5 linked regions of the Xenopus tropicalis genome follow. The protein of the gene in region 3 binds, or shares a complex with, the protein of the main gene of each other region. Links are inferred from orthologs where the notes say so. Each region holds a gene or a part of one and is shown on either strand. Other genes may lie near its edges.

Region 1 (3,227 bases), about 43 Mb from region 3:
ACCAACTTGCATTCTGCTCAAACAGGAAGTTGACACTAAACTGGTTACTGTGCATGCCTTCCCTCTCCTGCTTCACTTGCATTTCATTGATTGGATTGGCTGAATCTTGGCAGCCAATGGTATCAGATATGCAAATGGAGCAGAAAAGGAAAGGCATGCATTGAAACAGTTCTCTGTGAACTTTTTTTATTTGGCTATCTGCCATGTCCTGTTCTGGGAAATCACCTACAGAAGGAGTACAGAAAATATTTATGCAAAATGTCTTTTTTTTTTTTTTTTTTTTTAAGATCTGTATTGACTGATGCAAATTACTCATGTAGCATAGGCTATACACTTATATGGGATGCCAATAAAAAAATGACACGGGTTATAGACACCATGCTTAGAGACAACCCTCTCAAAACTGATTTTAATTGCTCCAGCTGAAATATCCAAATGAGGTGTGACTTTCATTTACAAGCGAATGAGCAGATGTCTTGGTCATATTTATCATAAGGTTGAAAAGCCAATTCTCTATAAAATTCTCAGTCATTCCTATACACAATAAATATGTCCTTTGTAGTACTGGTAAAGGTGGCTATACGTGGGCAGATTTAAGATGCTAGTTTGGCCCCTTCAATCAGAGGCATCAGCTTATCTGTCCATGTATGGGGCCCTCCAACTGGCCTTAAAAATCAGCCAGATATCAGTCAGGCAGGTTTAAAAATCGTGCCAGGCAGAGACTGCATTGGCTTGATGGACCAAGCACACAAAACAGTTGCAAAGTTTACTATAGTCTATACAGGCTAGCTGCTTGCAAAAAATATTTGATTAACCAATGTGATGTCCACCTTCTTTGCTTTAACTTGCTTTTACTTAACTTTTTTTCTTTAACTTTTAAAAGGTTATTGGTGCTTTTGGTGAGCCCATCAAAGGTTACGGAGAGACTACAAGACGTGGTAGAAGACAGCATGTCAGGTAAGTTTTAGGTTTGTCAAAAAAAATTAAATAAAAGTTTACTGCCATATTGTTGTAATGTTTATTACATAGAAAGCTGTATACATTATTAAGAATTATTGTGAATTACAAACTTTACCACACCTGATATAATGGGTTTTCCTTCATGGTCATAAAAGCACACAGATATTAGTGAAGAAAACCTGAATGGTAAATTATCAATGGGAATTTGTACTGGAGTACAGTTAATTCTCTTATTATATGTACTTTTTCCCTTCACATGCAACAGATGTGGTTTGACATAAAGTACTTTAGATACCACCATTGTAAATTTTAGATTAAGATTCTTTGGGGCTACTCTGAGCGGACTATCGTAAGGGAATTGTGAGACCCAAGCTATGGAGTGCATACATTTTGTAGGGGTGCAGGAGTGGTGCCAAACTTGGAGGGCTAACCATTCATAAAAGTGGTCCGTAGGCATAGTGGAATGAATGAGAAACACCCTCACAAAGTTTATTTTTTGATAAAAAGAATTCAAAGCACTCAAACACTCGCAACCTAAATACAATGAATTAAAATGAAATTATGACCTGATCCACCATATGTTGTATGCACACAACAGGAGATTTTTGTTTTTGTTTTTTTTTGTTAAGTGCAGTAGAAATGCCACCCCTGTAAAATGCATATGGACACACTGTGCAATTTCCAAATTTATTTTACACAGGTGCAGTATTTTTTATTGCACTTACAATCTGTCTGACATTCATCTGCATTGTTGGGCAGTCTCCTATATGTATGCACTTTGTTATAATTGTTACCCTTTATTTAATAGTGGCAAAAACAACACAGCTATTGTTCATTCACATCAGCTCCTGCCCAGTGGAGCTTATATTTTAAGGTACCGCCATCATCAGACAATCGCTTGATTTTGGAGTCTGCCAAAAAAACAGAATGCCCAGAGAAAACATTTGCAGACATAGTAAACATGCAAGTGAATGTATATAGGTCTAGGTCAGAATCTCTAGCAATGCATGCCAGCTGACGGCTATAAAAAATGTAAATAATTTAAAAAAGTATAGGTTGTCTTAAAATACATCTATAGTTATAGTTAAAGGGGTAGATCACCTTAAAATTAACAACCTGATTTTGTTTTTTTGTTTTTTTTTACTAAATGTTGTGTATTCTTTGCTTTAGTCACATGGAGTATGTGAAAGATGGCATAAAGTGCATGAGGCTAAAGTTCTACATAGAGGGCTTGGAACCAAGAAAGCAAGGAACAGTGCACACAGAGGTGAAAGAGGTATGTGGTAATGAACAGTTGTAGGCTTGTTACTTGTCATTTATATCATATACCTGAAATATTCTATATTTTGTTCCTTTAGAACCCAGAAAGTGGAAAATATGAATTTCAGTACATATTTGTTGAAATTGATACTTACCCACGGCGAACAATCGTCATAGAAGACAACAGACGCCAAAGTTAAGAAGAAAATCATTGTTTGCCGCTGCTATATCTGTATAAAAGGTGCTTTACAACTGTGTGGTTTCCTGTAATGTTAGAAGGTTTTGCTGTAGGCAGGGCCTTCAGTTCAAATGTCTGTGAGAAACTGAATCATGGCTTCTTTTTATTCTGAAAATAAATGAATCATGTAATTTAATCTCTTTCATGAACCCCCTTTGTTTTATTTAACACTCCACATATCCTCCTCTGCCTTTCATGCTTATAACTTGAATATTTGCTTAATTATATTTTGTTCATTATTCAAAATGATTAATACCACCTTTGTGCCTTCAGCCTTAAGAAGCACTGTTTCTTCTGCCTGACAGACAGAGCAATGCATAGGCAGAGAGGAGGGAAGGTATTTTACCAAGTTGAAGTTTAGCTGGAAGAATAGGGGTCATTGCTGTTCTAAATGATGTTGATACCTGGGCAGTACAGTACAAATTCACCATAACACTTGAAATTAGGGATCCATTTTTTGGGTTTGGCCGAACCCTTTGTAAAGGATTTGCCCAAATCCTAATTAGCATATGCTAATTAGGTTTTAGAAGGGTTAAATCTAGAAAAAATAGGAAAAATTTCAACTTCCGTGTCTCACGTGATTTTTTGGATTTGGTTAGGCCAGAGGCACAGATTGGGCTGAATCCTGCTGAAAAAGGCCGAATCCCGAACCAAATCCTTTATTTGGTGTATCCCTACTTGAAATAAATATTATATAAACAGGTCTGATGGCAGTATTACCCCGCACACTCGCACACATGCCAAGTGTCGCACACAGCAACCTCACATG
Region 2 (3,722 bases), about 8.6 Mb from region 3:
CTTTAATTCAAACCACTTCCCGAGTACTAAGGTAAACAAGGCCTTAGCAATCACATAGCTGCTGAAATTCCAAACAAAGAGCTGTGGTACAAAAAGCTAAATAGCTAAAAGAAAAACCTACTGCAAATTGTCAGAATATCTGTGTATGTCATACTAAAAGTTAATTTAAAGGTGAACAACACCTTTAAGCAGTGATACATAGGTATTGTGAGTTCAGGCTCGTCCCCACTGCCAGGGGCAATCGATGATTCACAAAGTAAAATACGGTACAGCACTCTGAAATGGTGAAAAAGGTGAATTTTATTTCTGCCAAAGGCTAGACAACCACCCTTTATCAAGCCTACTTACTGTGTTACACACTCGCTATAAATCGGTGTAATAGGGGAAGGGGTAAACCTACTCCATCCATTTCCCCAAACACTACATTTCCCATAGTGCTCTGTGAAACAGTTGTCATATATAGATATCAACTCCATCTTTGCACACACTTTCAGATAAGCTACCATTCCTATGCCTTAATACTGTATGTCCCTTACTGTATATCTGCACTTACACAAAGCAGTCTTCTACTCTGGTGTGCAACTTAAAGCTGCAGTCTTCTCTTTGTACCCTCCCATGTCCACAGACACAACTATGGGAGCACGGCTAAAATATATAGCCACAATACTTTAGCAAACTGAAATCAAATGAAGGGGCAGGAAAAGTACTGAAGTTTCCACACATTCCAATAAGGTGCTCGGCCGTATGTGTCTCGGCCCTGCCCCATACTGCGGCACGTAGAACTCTTACAGCAAACACTTCTATATAGATATCATCATGGTATTTGCCTAAATGAGTTCCTGCCTATTTGAAACAAAAATAATTCAATGCGGATATAGAAGCCGAGAATAAAAGCAGCAGATAAACAGAACTTTTTTTTTACAAAAGAAACATTTATTATAAGAAACTAGAAATGGGGAAACACTCAGGAGAAGACAGTTTGATTATATACTATTTGGCACTTTCTCTTGCCTTTTCTTTGACGAGATTCCTGTTTTTTGAAACTCTTCCCTTTCTTTTAAATATTCCTGCTTGCATTCTTCATATAAAGCCGGATCTTTGTAGCTTTGGGAATAAGAATACAACACAATGGCAATAAGGAAGCAGCAGTACATCTATAGGGAATCCATTTTGAATTACAAGTTTGGGATCTTTTACAGGTTTGGGATGCATTATCCAGAAACCTGTTATCCAGAAAGTTCCGGCTCCAGAAAGGTCCCATACCTGTATCTGAAATGCCTGGGACCTGGTTTTCTGCATAAGGGATCTTTCTGCCATTGACTGTGACATGATCTCGACAGGTTTTAGATAAAGCGTTTTCGGTTTCGGAATTGTCCCAGTTTTGTTGCATAATACATCTTGGAAAGTTAAGATTTAAAAAAAGAAAAAATGCCTCCACATATTTGCTAAAAAAAAATCTTTTAAACATAAACTAAACCCAATAGGATTTTTTTTGCTGAGTTTGTGCTGTACAAGGTTCTGTTTTACTATTACAGAGAAGAATCATTTGCTTTAATAGACAGGAGCTGGTAATTAGGAGCTTTCTGGATAATCAGTTTCCAAATAAAAGATGTATATATACACATGTAAAATATAATACAGAAGAATTCCCTCTCCTACAAGTTCCAGTTCTTTACTCTCCTGTTCTGTAACTGAATTGCCTCCTTTCTGCTGCCAATTCCCTGCTCATGGAACCAGAGATAGTTGCAAGTGAAGAACGCGGAGTAGTGATCCAGGTGCTGTGTATAAGTATCAGCCAGGAGTGTGTACATCACTGTGTTAAGTGCTAGTAGCTATGCCTTTTTTGCCTAAGTTTCACTGTGATATTGGCATTATCAGTTGGAAAAGAATATATGTAGGGTTGTATGTATGTATATATGTATATATATAGTTGCTTTATGTGCCTAAACAGTGGCCTCTCTCTCTTTACTTCAGCTTGCCTCTATGTCAGGGGCCACTACACAATCTCATCATATTCCCTTTATATTTGTCTGGTGTGTATATGCAAAATCTTAAATAACAAAGAGAAAGGCCAGAATACTATTTGACAGGAAAGTGTGACTTGCTCCTGTGATTGGCTGAAAGTCATTATAAATTTAGGCTATTACTGAGAATAGCTTCCAGGCAATTTTAGTCTTCTGGGATCCCCTCTGTTTGATGGCAATTTCCCCCCACTGCAGAGCATGTAGCCTTAAATATTCTCCTCAGTTACCACTTCCATATCAATACCAATACTATTTCTGCAACACTGTACAGGGTACGTATTGAGGAAAATTGTTTCCCCCCACCAGAGATGTGGGATAATAGAGCTTGCATTTGAACTGGGGGAGACTATTCTCCACCCCCGGCACTATGCCGCCCGCTCTGTGAGGGAGCTCCTGGTGTGGGCGGCCATTCTGGGACACAAGCATGCAGAATAGTGCAGCCTCTGTTAGCCTGATAGGTGTCATTTAAGTCTGTTTCCTTTCTGACAGGGCTGCTTTTAATGTATGCAAATTCTTCATTAACTACCCCTATTGGAAATAACTGAAGGAATCTTACAGATATTTCTGTTTAGTATATATGGCCTATTATCTACTAACCATAAAGAAAGAGGGTTTTCCTGTTACAGGGTTAAGGATTTTTATTTGGGCTAGCACATGAGAGGCAATCTGAATTACAAGACTGTCCCTAGTTAATAATCATGTTTAAATCATGTATGATATTTGCACTAAAGGAAACCAAAATTTTTTATTTTATTATTATACTTTATACAATGTTTGCACAGTTTTTAAGGCTATTATATATAAATATCAAAACAGAAAAGTCAACTTACTGAAGAGTCAGGCACTCCTTCAGCGCTGCGTTTTCATTTCGGCATTTCACCACCATCAGGAGGCCACTCTCCTTGCAACATTTTGTAAAAGCTGGAAAAAAATACACAAACCAGCATGGTACTGAATTTATTGTTCAATACTGCAGTTCAGACACAACAACCTGCAGTAAATAACTGCATTATGGCATCTGGCTTACATTTTTTCCCTGTCACTGCATTGCAAGTCTGTGCTTTATGTACTGCTGCAAAAGCATTGTAGCTCAGGTACAAAAAGGCACAGACACATGTCAAGTTCAGTCTTTTACCCATATAAATTCCATGTACTGTAGCATTCAACTGATCCACAAGAGGAAAGAATGAATCACATTTGTGTCACAGTAAATTAATATTTTATATGGAGCTATACCTGGATGAAAAAGTTAATTATGTAAAACATGTGAATTATATGATTAAAATGGAGTCTATGGGAGATGGCCTTTTTGAAATTCAGAGCTTTCTGGGTAGCGGGTTTTTAGATAATGGATGCCATACCTGTATATGTATTAACACATGTATTTATTTTTCTTCTCTACCTTTATTGTGTACTAGCGCAGCCAGTATAAACTTTTTGATGTTATATAGGGCCATTATCATTTTCTTGGTTTTCCAACAGTAATGCCACCTATACAAAGGGGGGGGAACACTCTAAGGCTAAACAAATTAATAGTAAATTAAAATGGAAGTGCAATGGGCAAATCTGCCAGGTCACATTGCACTTGCAAAATGTCACGCAACATAAATCATACAGGCCACAAAGCACTCTTTTACTAACCTAATAAGTGTGAATGTAAACTTCCCCTTAAAACTATAAGGAAAAATACTGTAAGGA
Region 3 (4,544 bases):
GTTTGCTTGATATTTTGTTGCATGTGATCCATCTTTTATACATAGTAACATAGCAAGCAAGGTTAGAAAAAGGCACCCATCCATCTAGCTCAGACTTTTATATCTATATAAACCTGTCCAATTGCTAGTTGATCCACAGGAATGCAAAAAAAAAATTCTTCCAAAGCCTCTCTAATTTGCCTCAGATGGAGGTAAAATTCCTTCCTGACTCCAAGATGGCAATTGGACCAGTCCCTGGATCAACTTGTACTAAGAGCTATCTCCCATAACCCTGTATTCCCTCACTTGCCAAAAAGGCATTCAACCAGCTCTCTAATGTATTAGCCAGTACAACTGATTCAGGAAGAGAAAGCCACAACTTCGCAGCTCTCATTGTAAAAAATACTTTCCAAGTATTTAGATGGATCCTCTTTCTCCTTCTTTCAGGCCTTGACTGACAATCTTTGGTTCTGGCAAATTAGCCAGAATGGCTAACCTAAGATGTCACAGACAGAAGGAAAGGTAAAAACTAAGTAAGCTTTATCAGAAAGTCTATGTAAATACAGCCATAAGCACTCACAGAAAAGCTGCACTGAGGTCTCTGTCAAAATCTGAACTAATGATCTTTCCGCCTAAGCCTGGTCCTACTCCCCCCTTTTCTATCTCTATTGAAGGCACCCTCATCAACCCTGTCGATTCGTCACGCTGTTTGGGGGTGATCTTTGACTCCTGTCTCTCCTTCTCTGACCACATTAACTCCACTGTCAAAACCTGTCACTTTTTCTTACGCAATATTGGCAAAATCTGTCCCTTTCTCTCTACTGCAACAGCTAGGCTGCTCATGCATGCCCTCATCCTATCCCGACTGGACTACTGCAACCTGTTATTAACCGGCCTCCCTAACTCCCATCTTTCCCCCCTACAGTCTATATTAAATACTGCTGCCAGAATTCTCCTCCTCTCATCCAGGAGAGTTCAGGCCCCTCCCCTGCTAAAGGCCTTATCGTGGCTTCCTATTAAACAAAGAATATCTTACAAACTTCTTCTAACCTTCAAAGCCCTCCATTCCTCTGCTCCTCACTACATCTCTTCCCTTGTGTCTCCGTACGTCCCTGGCCGACTCCTTCGTTCCTCGCAGAGCAATCGCTTGGCTGCGCCCCCCACTACAACTGCTGTTTCCCGCCTTAACCTTTCTGCCTTGCTGCCCCTTACATCTGGAATGCCCTCCCTGATTTCCTCCGGAGAGAATCCTCCCCCAGTCTTTTTAAAACCAAACTAAAAGACTACCTTTTGGAGAACTCGCCCAGCACCTGATCTGGGAATCAGCACTTATATTGTAATGTCACCCACTGTGACCTACAGCACTTATATTTGCCTATTTGTGTCTGTAAGTTACCCTCCCATATAGATTGTAAGCTCTACGGGGCAGGGACCTCCATCCTCTTGTGTCTTTGACTCTTAACTTATTGCAACTGTATCTTGTATTTATTTGTATTTATTGTTATACTTTGTATTTATCTATTATCTTATTAACCCCCTGTTCGTATTAATGTATTCTACTGTACAGCGCTGCGTACATAAGTAGCGCTTTATAAATAAAAATATACATATATACAAAAGATTTCTTGTGTCTGTAATTCATGTGCCAGCTCTCTCCTCTCTCCCCTCTCCTGCACCCCCTCCCCAAAGAATGCTAAGAACTCACTCCCCCCCATAGGAATGTGGATCTGGGCCAATCAGCAGGAAGCTTCCTCATAGTCTTACAAACTGAGCATGTAACCAGTCTTGGTCTTGGTGGAGGAGCATGGCATTATGGGAACTTTCTTTACACAGCTCAGCATTTTTTCCCCCTATTATGCTTCTGATCATCTGAACAGGAGAAATATGGGGAGACTTAAGGGCACTATTGAGACAACTGAAGGTATGCCTGCAGCTTGAGATTAACTCTTTATTAGCCTTTCCTTCTCCTTTAAGGGTATAAATGGCTTGCATATAAATGCAAATTTTTCTAAACTAGCAATGTGGAATTTTTAATGCTTAAGGAATAGGGTCAGTTAAATATAACTGACAAGTAAATATACAGTATAACACAATTCAGAGTTATACATATATCATTCATTTCCGTATACTGGAATCTTTGGAACCCAAGTTGTTGTAATTAATTTCCAGCATCAGTGCATTAGTTTAAATGGGTTGTTCACCTTCCAAATAAATTTTCATTTCAGATGTTTTTCTGTAGTACATTAGAAATAAAGACTATTTGTTGGTTGCATTCTAATTTACATTTTTACCCATTTTACTAGTATAGAATGATTTCTTTTTCACCTTCTCATGTCCCTCTGGAGAAGCTAAATATACTTGTAGATTGTAAGCTCTTTTGGGCAGGGCCCTCTTCACCTCTTGTATCGGTTATTGATTGCTTTATATGTTACTCTGTATGTCCAATGTATGTAACCCACTTATTGTACAGCGCTGCGGAATATGTTGGCGCTTTATAAATAAATGTTAATAATAATAATACTCTCTTTTTGACAAGACTTTGTTTAGTTATGCTTATGTAGGTAAGGTACATAAACACTAACCTTCCAGAATATATATTTACACAGAAATGCCTGATTTCACAGATTGTAATAGTCTGCCTGTTTTCAATGAAACCAGTTTCCCCACCCCCCCTTTTACTCACAGTATAATGCAACCTCCCCCACCTTGTTGTAAAGTAATGGGTTGTGTGACTTAAAGTTCCTCTGCTTTTCACACTGTTTGGTGCGTAGGTTCAGTGGAAAGCAAAGGAGCTTCAAGTCCCATTAAAGGGTTTGTCCACCTTTTCTCACTGCTACCCAAAAGATAGATTATGTTCCCCTGAGTATGATAATATGTGCCACGCAAAGACTGTGTATCTATGTGTTTGAATAAGCTGTTTAACACTTACTGTAAAAGCTGCAGTTCACACAAAGGCATACAGAAACATTTCAGGGAGGCGGAGCATTTGTTTCTTCCCTGCAATGTGAGTCACATGGGAGCTTCCCCCCTGCTCCCCCCTCCCTCCCTGAACATTCATAGCAGAGACAGCAGCAGCACCAGGTGCCGGGCAGTTTAGCAGCCAATCAGAGGAGAGGCAAGAAAAGCAACATGCACAGTAGCTTTAGACTCCTACTGCCAGTGCTCAGTGTTACACAGAGCTTCCACACGCTGACACAGGCTTGTGCAGAAAGGGTTCAGCGACCCCCTCCCCTGGTGCCTCTGCTGTATCCTGCCCTATACAGAAACGCTATCTTCAGAGGTAATTTTCTCTAAAACAGATAAATTACATATTTTATTAAAATGACCTAATCTGCTAAAATAGCTTCATTTATGTGAAGGTGAACAACCCCTTTAACAATACTGAAACCAGCTTCTATGCAGTTGCAGAATTACTTAACAGTTACCAGTGTGTCATACAACCAGGTGTTAAAGAGATACCGACACCAGAAATTAAACCCTTTTTACAACTGCCTTTGCATGCTATTTATAATTTTTCCATAATAGTATTTGTTTTTATGTTACCCATCTGATCCCCCATGTTGCTTTATGAGGGGGCAGCCATATTTGTGCAGCAGGAGTCTGTTAGCATTAGAAATGATAACTGACAGGCTGAGAAGGGACAGTCAGGTTGGCAAAACAGTCAGGTTTAGGAACTTCAAACAACAATTACTTACAAAAGCAGCCCTATCTGTGAAAAATGATCAACGTGACCTATAGGTAACTTTTTACATACATTCATATTTTGAAGAGTAGTTTTTTAGTGTCAGTATCACTTTAATTAACTGAAAGCAAACGGAATATAATTTCCTAAATAATAGTATAAGCTGGTCAAAAGGTCACATTTCATATGGATCTCTGAACAGCTGTGCTCTGAATCCGATCCCAGCTCATGCAGCATATCTGTGAATAATACCAGTTTTAATCCACTGAACCTTTAAAGTATTTAGGAGGCTGTATTTCAGATTCGCTCTGGGATAAAGCGGCGGATAAATTCATTATAGTCTTTACTGGGGACACTGGAGTCTTGCAAAACCATTACAGGTTTTTTTTATTTAATAATCTTTCTTTTTCCAAGTAATACTGTTGGCTTGTAACAGGGCTACCTGTGGCTGGCAGGCACCCATTACTGTCAAATGCATGTACACGGTCTTTACTAAAAAAGTAGGCATCTTAACCCAGTTGCAAAGAATCACACACACTTTATTACAGACTTCTTGCAGGGAAGCAGGTATACAGCACACAATACTTCTGCACGTCTCTCTTTTTGCTTCTCACACTTACACATAGCAATTCCCATCGCCTCCCCTGTCTCCTTACAGTGTCCAAGCTTTACCCGTAGGTCCTCCTCTAATCTACAACTAAACATTTAAACTCTGAATTGAGTCGGTTGAGAGTTTAGGAGAGCTAGGTTAACAGTTAACAGAATATGTTTATACTTGCTTACTAATCTACTAAATATTAATCATGTTTTCTTTTGTCTTGGTTAAAAGGTGTCTAACACCTAAGCAAATAATTATGTTTTAGTTGCAAAATATCCTTCATCA
Region 4 (4,737 bases), on a different chromosome or scaffold from region 3:
TTCTTCTGAGGTAGAAACTCAGGCAGTACAGCATAAGACCTGCAAACAGTGCTGTGCCAGTAGAATACACAACCCATAAATATGTGACCTGACCTTGAATATAGTAATAATACATGGGCGGAAGGAATATAGCAGTCAGTGCTGTCTGAAGAAGCTTTAGACGAGAAACAGCTCGGCAGTACTTTATTCCTGGAAACTTATAAATCATCGTGAACTTCTCAGTGTTACTGATCCCGGCTAAGAGAGGAGGAGATGAAGAGAAATAAATCTGATTCATTAGAGGAAGTGGTGCTTTGCTTCGATGATGAAGAAAGAGATAAGAACAGCCTTGACATGATGTCAGTGACACTGAAGAGGATCTGAAGAAAGTTGTTCTGCAAAGTAACTTGGAACTCCAGGCCAACTGGCCCATGTGTAAATACTTTATGCATCTAGATATCAGGCATACATGGGCCATGACTGGGTCCTGCAAAGGAGAAACAATATAACTGTTAGATCATAATGCCTTATATATACTCACATTACCTAAAATTTTTCAAGGAAAAGTTCACAGAAAATTGAAATTATTAGCCTTCCTATTCTGCTTATTTTCCACCCACAGCTTTCTATTCTTATCTTGTATTTCTTATCTTTCTGTTCATACCCTCTATTATTCATCTTACATTCTGTGTTCCAAACTACTGCATTGTGGCTATGGTACCTGTTGCTAATTAACTGCCTCTTGGACTGTCTATACCAGTACTGTGCTGCAATTTACATGTAGTGCTCAAATAATTTGTCATACCACATGTTCCAAGGCCAGAATATGTTATAGAATGGCATGATTTCAGCTACTTTTTTTTTTTTAATTTTGTTTTTTAATGATTTGCTTTCCACTTCTGCCTCTTTCCAAGTTTTAAATTCAAAAAGTTATTTCTTTCTCAGGTAACAATTTTATTGTTATTATTACTTATCGTTCATCTTTCAGTCTCTCATTTAAAGGGGTAGTTCACCTTTAAATTAAATTTTACTATGATGTAGAGAGTGATATTCGGAAACAATTTGCAATTTGGATTTTCAGCAGCTAACTGGTTGCTAGGGGTCAATTTAACGTAGAAACCAGGCCCTGGATTAAAAGAGGCCAGAACATTAAAATGAGAGGGCATGTATATAAGGATAAGGCTAAAAAGTTTCAATAATAACTAGAAAGGGAAGTTTGAGAAAAAACTTCATGTTGGGTTGAAAAACATGAAGTCACTGCATGGGCTCCTCCAACTTTCTCTGACCTTGGACCACAGTTATACAGTAAAAACCACTGTGCAAAGTTTGGGGACCCTGGTTTTAATAGTGTCTGAATGGCAGCAACTTAAATTTGATTGGTGGTTGGTGGCTCAACCCCCTTTTTCTAACCTGGAACTGCAGTTACCCAGTGACTAACTCTGGTAAGTTTAGGGACCCTAGGATTAATAGTTAAAGAACGGCAGCAGTTTAAACCAATAAAAGTCAATAGGTGAATTGTGATTGGTGGTTGTGCCCCTTTTTCTAACCTTGAGTCAAAGTCACCCAGTGACAAACAGTGGGCACCCTGGCATAAATAGTGTGAGACTGGCAGCATTTTAAATTTAAAGCAAAATTGAAAGTCAATAGGTAAACTCTGATTGGCTGTTGGTGGCTCCGTCCACTTTTTTAACCTTGAACCACAGTCACCTGGTGCCTAACCCTGCAAAGTTTGGGGACTTCCACCGTCAACAGGTAAAATCTGATTGGCTGTTCACAGCTCCGCCCACTTTTGGGCATCCAACAATCATCATATTTTCATTCAGGCTGGCCCCATGACTATGTGATTCAAGTTTGGGGAGTGTAGCCTCAAAGCTGTAAGATTGGCAGCAGTTTCAATTTCCCCATTAAAGTCAATGGGTAAAATTTGATTGGCCCCTCCCACTTTGGGGGTCATCCAACAAATGTTGCTGTTTCATTCGGGGTGACCCCATTATTATGTTATTCAAGTTTGGGGGGTGCAGCTTCAAAGCTGTAAGTGTGCCAGCAGTTTGAATATCTTCCCTGTCAAAGTCAATGGAAAAATTGGGGGGTTCGGAGCGGCGCAATCGCTTAGAAAAGCACAAGCAACCTGCTCCTCTATAGGCCGAAGAAGTGTGGGGAGTTTGGGTGTTGTACCCCTAAAACTGTAGGAGGAGTAGCGGTTAGAAAATGGGGGGCACTAAGAAGAAGAAGAAGCGGAAGAATAATAATGGGTCAGTGACCCCCCATATGACAGCTGGAAAGAGAATTTCTGAGAAAGGCAAATAATTGAAAAATTATAAAAGTTAAAAAATGAAGACCAATGAAAAATTTGGGACATTCTTAAAATAGTAAAAATTGACAAAAAGGTGAATAATCCCTTTAAAAAAAAGACTTGTGGCAACAATGGATTAAATACCAATGCACATTGGCATAACTAGATGTTACTGGGCATCTTTGCAGTCCTGTAGATTGTAAGCTCTTGCGAGCAGGGCCCTCTCACCCTATTCTTACTCTGCATACCCGTGTTTGTTAAACTTTTTAAAATCCCTGTTTGTTTAAATTTATTGTGAAGTGGTGCATAATTTGCTGGCATTATATAAATGAATGATGATTCTGCCTATTTGAGTAAGTAACAGGGGTGATGAAGGGGTTAAACGCCCTTGGCCACTCAGTTTAACCCATATATCTGCTGGCAGGATGGCAAAGATACCCACTTTGATGCCCCTTTTCCTTAGTTGTTTATCAGACTGAATAAGAAAGGATTGCCCCCTTGGTGCCAGTTTTCCTGCCTTTCCGGGCCAGGCTGGGACAAGCCGGAGTTAACGTAGCGCAACGCTGTCAATGAATGTGATCTGTTAAATTTGTGGTGCAAGTTTATTTCTTTAAAACACCAGTTACTAATAAAACCAACATCAAGGCACCCAACGCCCTTCTTATTTATTTTTGCATTTCTCTTGTGCATAGCAATTTTCTGTTTCTAAATACATCAATTTTTTAAATAAAATGTCATATTTGAACACTTCCTTGTACGAGTTCCCTAAGCCTAAGGGAAGGACAGGCAGCTCGATTCTTCTATACTCACCCCTGTCCGCACTCCTACACACGCTTCTCCTTTGCTAAACTTCCCAGCGCACTAAGCTACAATCACTTCCGATTCCATGCGAGGCATTCTGGGAGATTGAGTTCTTTTGTCAATGAACAGTCGGTGACATCCTGACTCCGGCAATACAGTTCCCGTCATGCTCTGGGCTTCAGGACCCAAATAGGAAGTTGTGATGTGGCTTGTTTGACATTTGAAAGGACTGTGTTTCTCCATTCATCTGAGCTGAGAAAGATCCGACTGGCAGCAGTCATGGCTCAATGTGACGTTCTGTGCTTGTTCGATGTGGATGGCACCCTGACAGCAGCCAGGCAGGTACCAGTATCAGAACCGAGAACTATTCACAAGGATCTGTCACTTTTGGCACAAGTTTATTTTCACACAGCATTGCAAACATGTTATGTGTGTATATGTTGCATTTATATACTGCATGTAAATGCAGTGCTTAAAGTTAACGCAATAGGACAGAGTAAGATTAAGACTTTACCAGAATATAAATAACAGTACAAAATTCTACCCTTCTGCCCCATTAAGTTTATAGTTTATGTTGGATTCCGGGCTGCAACCGGGAATTCATAGTGTATGTTGCATTTCAGTAAAATGCATCCATTTTGACCTGCTAATTGCATAGAATTGATTTAGAAGGGGGGGGGGGGTTAAATTCCCTTTATATATTATAACATTATTATAAGTACTAAGAGGTAGCTAACAAATTGTGACCACATCAGTGATTAAGCTTTTTCCTTGTACTAAGTCTAGAAGTAGGTAAAATTAGGTAAAAAATTAATACATTTCACTTTACTTCTAAAAAAGTGATGGTCAGTGTTTACACCTTCTATGGGGAATAAGTTTTCTTGTACTTGTGACTGGGTTTATCTTTTTTACTGACAAACAACAAAGGTCTTAGCTTGCTTTATGACAATAAACATTTAGTACATGCTGCTTGGAGTACATTTTGGGACACACTGCTAATGACAAGCACTGCTACAAGTAGGTGAAATCACCAAGAAGCTCTGTATCTTCGAGTAATCCTAGATTACTTTTTTTTTTTTATGCACTGTCTGCATAAAAAGTAAGGATAATTTTAACAAAATGCAGATATTGGTTCAAACTGCCATGTTTTTTGCACAATTGAACTCAGCCTGCATTCACACCATGGATGCAGGTCTTTGTGGTCCAGCGAGGAGTTCAAGACCCTGTGCACCCCCAACCTGACAACCTGAAAAAACAGGCACTCTGCAGAGCTGTATTCACAAGGGACCACTGGGGAGGGGGCATATAGGAGTTTTCTATCCTTCCCCCCTAATTGCATTTCATTCTATCTTTGGGAGGCTAAAAATTCATGCCCGCCAGCACATTAATTATTAATCTGCTGTGAGGTGCAGAGCATAGCTGGCCCTTATGCTGGGTAAATGGTCAGTAATAGGCAGAATTTTGAGCCCCTTTGAGCTGTAGCATTTGCACGTGGGACAATGATAAATGACCCCAGCATGTCTTGCATTTACATGAATGATGCAGGCAATAGGGAGCTGAAGTTCAACCATGATAAAGGGTCCATCTTTTGGACCCCATGTTTGAGAGAATTATGAGTACGATTTTTCCCAGAGCAGTATATTTTATTATATTATTATTGTATT
Region 5 (4,757 bases), on a different chromosome or scaffold from region 3:
ACATTCAGCTAAAATGTTTCATGTTTTCCTATGGGGTAGGCTATATGGACCAGGGCTGTGGAGTCGGTAGATAAATCCTCCGACTCTGACTCCTCAGTTTCTGATACTTCCGACTCCGACTCCACGACTCCGACTCCTCTGTTTTTAATATGCTAATGTATTTTATACATTCATACAGTCAATGAAAAGCATGCTTCATGGTCACTCAACGTGTTCGTTTATGCACTGCGTGCATTGGGCTTTATTCTTATAGCAGAGAAGCAATTAATTATGACTGTTTGTGAATTGGGACATTTAAACTTGCTTTATTTTTTTTTTTTTATTCCCATTTAAATTTAGTAGGAGTCGGAGTCGGTTCATTTTTTGCCGACTCCGACTTCGACTCCAGGTACCCAAAATTGCCTCCGACTCCACAGCCCTGATATGGACTACACTATGTAGTGCACACTGCTTTCACTGGAAATAACTGTTACATGCAAACAAGTGCACAGATAATTTCCCTGCACAAGGGACTTCTGCTTAACTGCGCACAGGTATCTATTATCTACCTCACAAGAACCAAACATGAAGTAGTTTATATTTCCCTGTTAAGCTCAAGAAATAACATAAACTATACTGATTTTGTGATTAAAACAAAAGGCTTAAAGTGAGTTCAGCAAAATCCCAAATTACGAACCCCTGTTGGAGCACTACCCCTTTATGAAGTCTATGTCTACACAAAGATTTTTTCTTTTTTCTAGGGGGGAATTTGAAGAATCCTCAGAGCTTGTTAAACAGCATCTGGCATTTTCGCAGCAATGCCATAGTTCTGGGTTTTTAACAGAAAGCTTTCTATGCTGTCAGAGTTACCTACCAGCACCACCTAGTGGCAGACTGCAAAATATGATATTAATACAGGTATGGGACCTGTTATCCAGAATGTTTGGGACCTGGGGTTTTCCGGATAAGGGATCTTTCCGTAATTTGGATCTCCATAACTTAAGTCTGCTAAAAATAATTTAAATATTGAATAAACCAAATAGGAGTGCTTTGCCTCCAATAAGGAGTAATTATATCTTAGTTGGGATCAAGTACAGGTACTGTTTTATTATTACAGAGAAAAGGGAATCATTTAACCATTAAATAAACCCAATAGGGCTGTTCTGCCCCAATAAGGGGTAATTATATCTTAGTTGGGATCAAGTACAGGTACTGTTTTATTATTACAGAGAAAAGGGAATCATTTAACCATTAAATAAACCCAATAGGGCTGTTCTGCCCCCAATAAGGAGTAATTATATCTTAGTTGGGATCAAGTACAAGGTACTGTTTTATTATTACAGAGAAAAGGGAATCATTTAACCATTAAATAAACCCAATAGGGCTGTTCTGCCCCCAATAAGGGGTAATTATATCTTAGTTGGGATCAAGTACAGGTACTGTTTTATTATTACAGAGAAAAGGGAATCATTTAACCATTAAATAAACCCAATAGGGCTGTTCTGCCTCCAATAAGGAGTAATTATATCTTGGGATCAAGTACAAGGTACTGTTTTGTTTATAATAGAGTCTATGGGAGATGGGCTTTCCGTAATTCAGAACTTTCTGGATAAGGGGTTTCCAGATAAGGGATCCCATACCTGTACTACATAATTCTGTTATAGGTTATGTTAATATATGATAAATCTACATAGAGTAAAGTGAATATGTGAATAGACAGTGAAAAAATAGCATCCCTTTCTGCAAATCATTTTTACAAATACACTTTAATGAATATTGCGCATTGTTTTCAGACACAAATACAAACTGTATTTAGTGATGCTAGTGTCCCTTCAAAATTTCATTGTGAAAAAAGATGGAGCAATATCCCTTTATCATCACCAGATTTATTTTGCAACCTATTTCATAATAACAGTTAATGCCATAACCTGTGCGCAAAGAACTGATTTACACTTCGTTGAAGACAGAGTGGGGTAAAATAACTCTTGTAGCCCATAGCAACCAATCAGCAGGCAGCATCTACTGGTCAGCTAATGTTTTTGATTGGTTGCTATGGGTTACTAAATGTTGTACGTTTAATCACAAGTATTTTTCTGTCCCACTTAGGGCTCTGGCACACGGGGGAGATAAGTCGCCCGCGATAAAACTCCCTGTTCGCGGGCGACTAATCTCCCCGAGTTGCCTACCCCTGCCATCCCACCGGCGAACATGTAAGTCGCCGGCGGGATGGCAGACGCGGCGGGGCAGTTTCAGGGAATCGCCGAAAAAGACTCGCAAGTCTTTTTCGGCGACTTGCGCGAAATCGCGCCGCCGCGTCTGCCATCCCGCCGGCGACTTACATGTTCGCCGGTGGGATGGCAGGGGTAGGCAACTCGGGGAGATTAGTCGCCCGCGAACAGGGAGTTAATCGCGGGCGACTAATCTCCCCCGTGTGCCAGAGCCCTTAGGGCGAAGACACATGGAGCTACTTAGTAGCAGCTACTTGTCACAGCTACTAAACACCCTGCCATAGACAATACTGAGAATTGCCTCTGCTAAAACACATGTAGAGACAGTTATCAGTAAATGATCAGCATTGTCTGTTTTAGTAGCCGTGACAAGTAGCTGCTACTAGTAGCTCCATGTGTCTTCACTCTTATGGTTCTGACTCTTGAAATAATGTTGCAGAAGGCAGCATCACAAGTTTTATTACAGGGCTGTTAATCAGCTGTCATCCGCAACATGTACAAATCACATGTACAACACATACAAGTGTTGGGGTTTAAATTCCCTTTAACAATTATTGGCAACTAGTATTTAAACTGAGAACAAGTAATTAATTAAAATAACATAAATCCATATAATACCGATGCTCGTATTTATATTCCCTTTAAAATAAAAAACTATCATGGTGTCCATGTGAAGTACTGGCATGTCAGTAGCAATGATGCTCTCCTTGTGTACCAGTTACAGGTTACTTACTGTATTCATCTATGTGCATGAGCGGGTGAAAGAATATAGGGTAGAAAGCTGCTGCCACTGCAGTGACAAAACCACCGAAAATGAGAACTATCCTGGTGTTTTTGGACATGATCACAAAGCAGCCTTGTCAGACATGGGAGAAAAGGGCAAACCAGGAAGCAACAAGGACACGGGCAGCAATCATTTCTGTGGATGTGTTATGCGATATGATTTGTCAATATAGCAAGTACTAACGAAAGCTGTGTTCTGGTTGGCTAATAACTAGAGCTCTGCTTGAACTCTTCCCCAACCTGAGGAAACAGAGTTCTATTACCTTGGTTCCGCTAAAAATAGAACATACATCAGCTGTGGTAGGAAAGGACTTACTGCATGTACTGCATAAGGTTTGCCTAAGTAAATGACTCTTTTGTCTTTACAAATTTTGGTATGTAAAATAAATAAGTAGCAAAAAAATGCTACATAAGCAAAGTTTGTCCTTCCATGCAGTGCACCAAGCATGCCCCTGTCACGTCTGCTAATATACAGATTTGAGCATATACTTTCCAACATTTAAAAAATATAAAGAGGGGTAAAAAGAACTGGCCCAACCCCTACATACTACACCTATTTTACATCCTACAGACATGCCAGTATAATTACAAAAGGAAATGTAAATTAACCCAAAAGGTGCCAGTATAATCCCTTAAATGGATAAAGATTATTTTAACCCTAGACATGTCAGTATAAACAAAACATTTAAATTAATAAAAGTTAAATAATAATTAAATAAGTTAATTATATTAACTGAAATATGTCAGTATAACCACAAACAATTGATAAGGAGCATATAAACCACAAATGTTTCAGTATAATTACAAGATAAAATGGATAAAGGACAGGGCTGTATTTAAGTTTAAGGCCACCCTGGGCACTTTTGAAACAAGAGTTTTGAATGGACGTCCAAATTTTTTAAAGGGCTGTTCAGTTCTCTCCAGTTGAAAACACTGAGAAAACTGGACAGAAATCCAGCCAATTGCATCAAATGATGCAGTAACCCCACTTCGGCATCACTGACATCATTGTGATCACTGCTCGACCCCCAATGCCGTCTGCCCCGTCCCCTCTGGCAAAGTTGGCAACCCTAATGGGGAGGTTTTTTAGTTTTTTATTTATTTTTTTCAATTATATAAGCACCCCAGGACCACCCCCCTAAAGCTACCACCCTAGGCACACAGGCGTATTAACCCCAGACATGTCAATATAATCAGGGCATAATAACCCAAGACCTGCCAGTATAATCACTACAGAAAATGAATAATCAGTATATCAACCTAAAGGTGGCCACACACATGGCGATTTGTCATCGGTCGCACGAAAGATCGTTCAATCAGCCACTAACCGTTCAGGGCTGAAACGGCAGATAAGGAGGTAGAAACAATAGGATTTCTACCTCCTTCTGCCAATTCAGCCCTGACGGCAGATTTTGCTCAGGTGCCTTCTATGGCGCCCGATCTAAATCTTTTAACCTGGCCGATCGGCAAGTCGACCGATATCAGCAGCCTCCTCCTCGCCGAAATGAGGTTTCATATGATATTATCGGTGCGTGTATGGCCAGCTTAAGACCACTGTAGAGATCGCCAATGAGAACTCTGTTAACCCCAGACAAGCCAGTAACACCACTGTAGAAATGGCCAATAAGCACTACATTAGCCACAGACACGCCAGTAAGACTGCTCTAGAAATGGACAATGACAATTACATTATTTCAGACAAGACAGTAAGATCACTGCAAAAATAGTCAATAAGGATTTCATTTATTCTAGACATGCTAGTAAGAT

What was found.
Region 1: coa1 (region 3) and timm21 share a complex: the UniProt entries of both Homo sapiens proteins name them as parts of the MITRAC (mitochondrial translation regulation assembly intermediate of cytochrome c oxidase complex) complex. The link is inferred for Xenopus tropicalis from reciprocal best matches to the Homo sapiens genes COA1 and TIMM21.
Region 2: coa1 (region 3) and cmc1 share a complex: the UniProt entries of both Homo sapiens proteins name them as parts of the MITRAC (mitochondrial translation regulation assembly intermediate of cytochrome c oxidase complex) complex. The link is inferred for Xenopus tropicalis from reciprocal best matches to the Homo sapiens genes COA1 and CMC1.
Region 4: coa1 (region 3) and tmem186 share a complex: the UniProt entries of both Homo sapiens proteins name them as parts of the mitochondrial complex. The link is inferred for Xenopus tropicalis from reciprocal best matches to the Homo sapiens genes COA1 and TMEM186.
Region 5: coa1 (region 3) and smim20 share a complex: the UniProt entries of both Homo sapiens proteins name them as parts of the MITRAC (mitochondrial translation regulation assembly intermediate of cytochrome c oxidase complex) complex. The link is inferred for Xenopus tropicalis from reciprocal best matches to the Homo sapiens genes COA1 and SMIM20.

The regions. Positions count from the first base shown.
Region 1 is NC_030682.2:100,286,144-100,289,370, reverse strand, and holds the end of timm21 (mitochondrial import inner membrane translocase subunit Tim21), read left to right. Parts: intron 1-883; coding exon 884-957; intron 958-2,130; coding exon 2,131-2,236; intron 2,237-2,318; coding exon 2,319-2,420; 3' UTR 2,421-2,594; downstream 2,595-3,227. UniProt on the Homo sapiens protein: Participates in the translocation of transit peptide-containing proteins across the mitochondrial inner membrane.
Region 2 is NC_030682.2:48,482,661-48,486,382, reverse strand, and holds the end of cmc1 (COX assembly mitochondrial protein homolog), read right to left. Parts: intron 2,946-3,722; coding exon 2,855-2,945; intron 1,105-2,854; coding exon 984-1,104; 3' UTR 912-983; downstream 1-911. UniProt on the Homo sapiens protein: Component of the MITRAC (mitochondrial translation regulation assembly intermediate of cytochrome c oxidase complex) complex, that regulates cytochrome c oxidase assembly.
Region 3 is NC_030682.2:57,067,310-57,071,853, reverse strand, and holds the start of coa1 (cytochrome c oxidase assembly factor 1 homolog), read right to left. Parts: upstream 3,018-4,544; 5' UTR 2,909-3,017; intron 1-2,908. UniProt on the Homo sapiens protein: Component of the MITRAC (mitochondrial translation regulation assembly intermediate of cytochrome c oxidase complex) complex, that regulates cytochrome c oxidase assembly.
Region 4 is NC_030685.2:38,351,920-38,356,656, reverse strand, and holds the start of tmem186 (transmembrane protein 186), read right to left. Parts: upstream 3,178-4,737; 5' UTR 3,083-3,177; intron 467-3,082; 5' UTR 458-466; coding exon 1-457. Other genes in the region: pmm1 (phosphomannomutase 2), read left to right, coding at 3,353-3,415. UniProt on the Homo sapiens protein: As part of the MCIA complex, required for efficient assembly of the mitochondrial complex I.
Region 5 is NC_030677.2:31,912,920-31,917,676, reverse strand, and holds the start of smim20 (small integral membrane protein 20), read right to left. Parts: upstream 3,134-4,757; 5' UTR 3,050-3,133; coding exon 2,941-3,049; intron 1-2,940.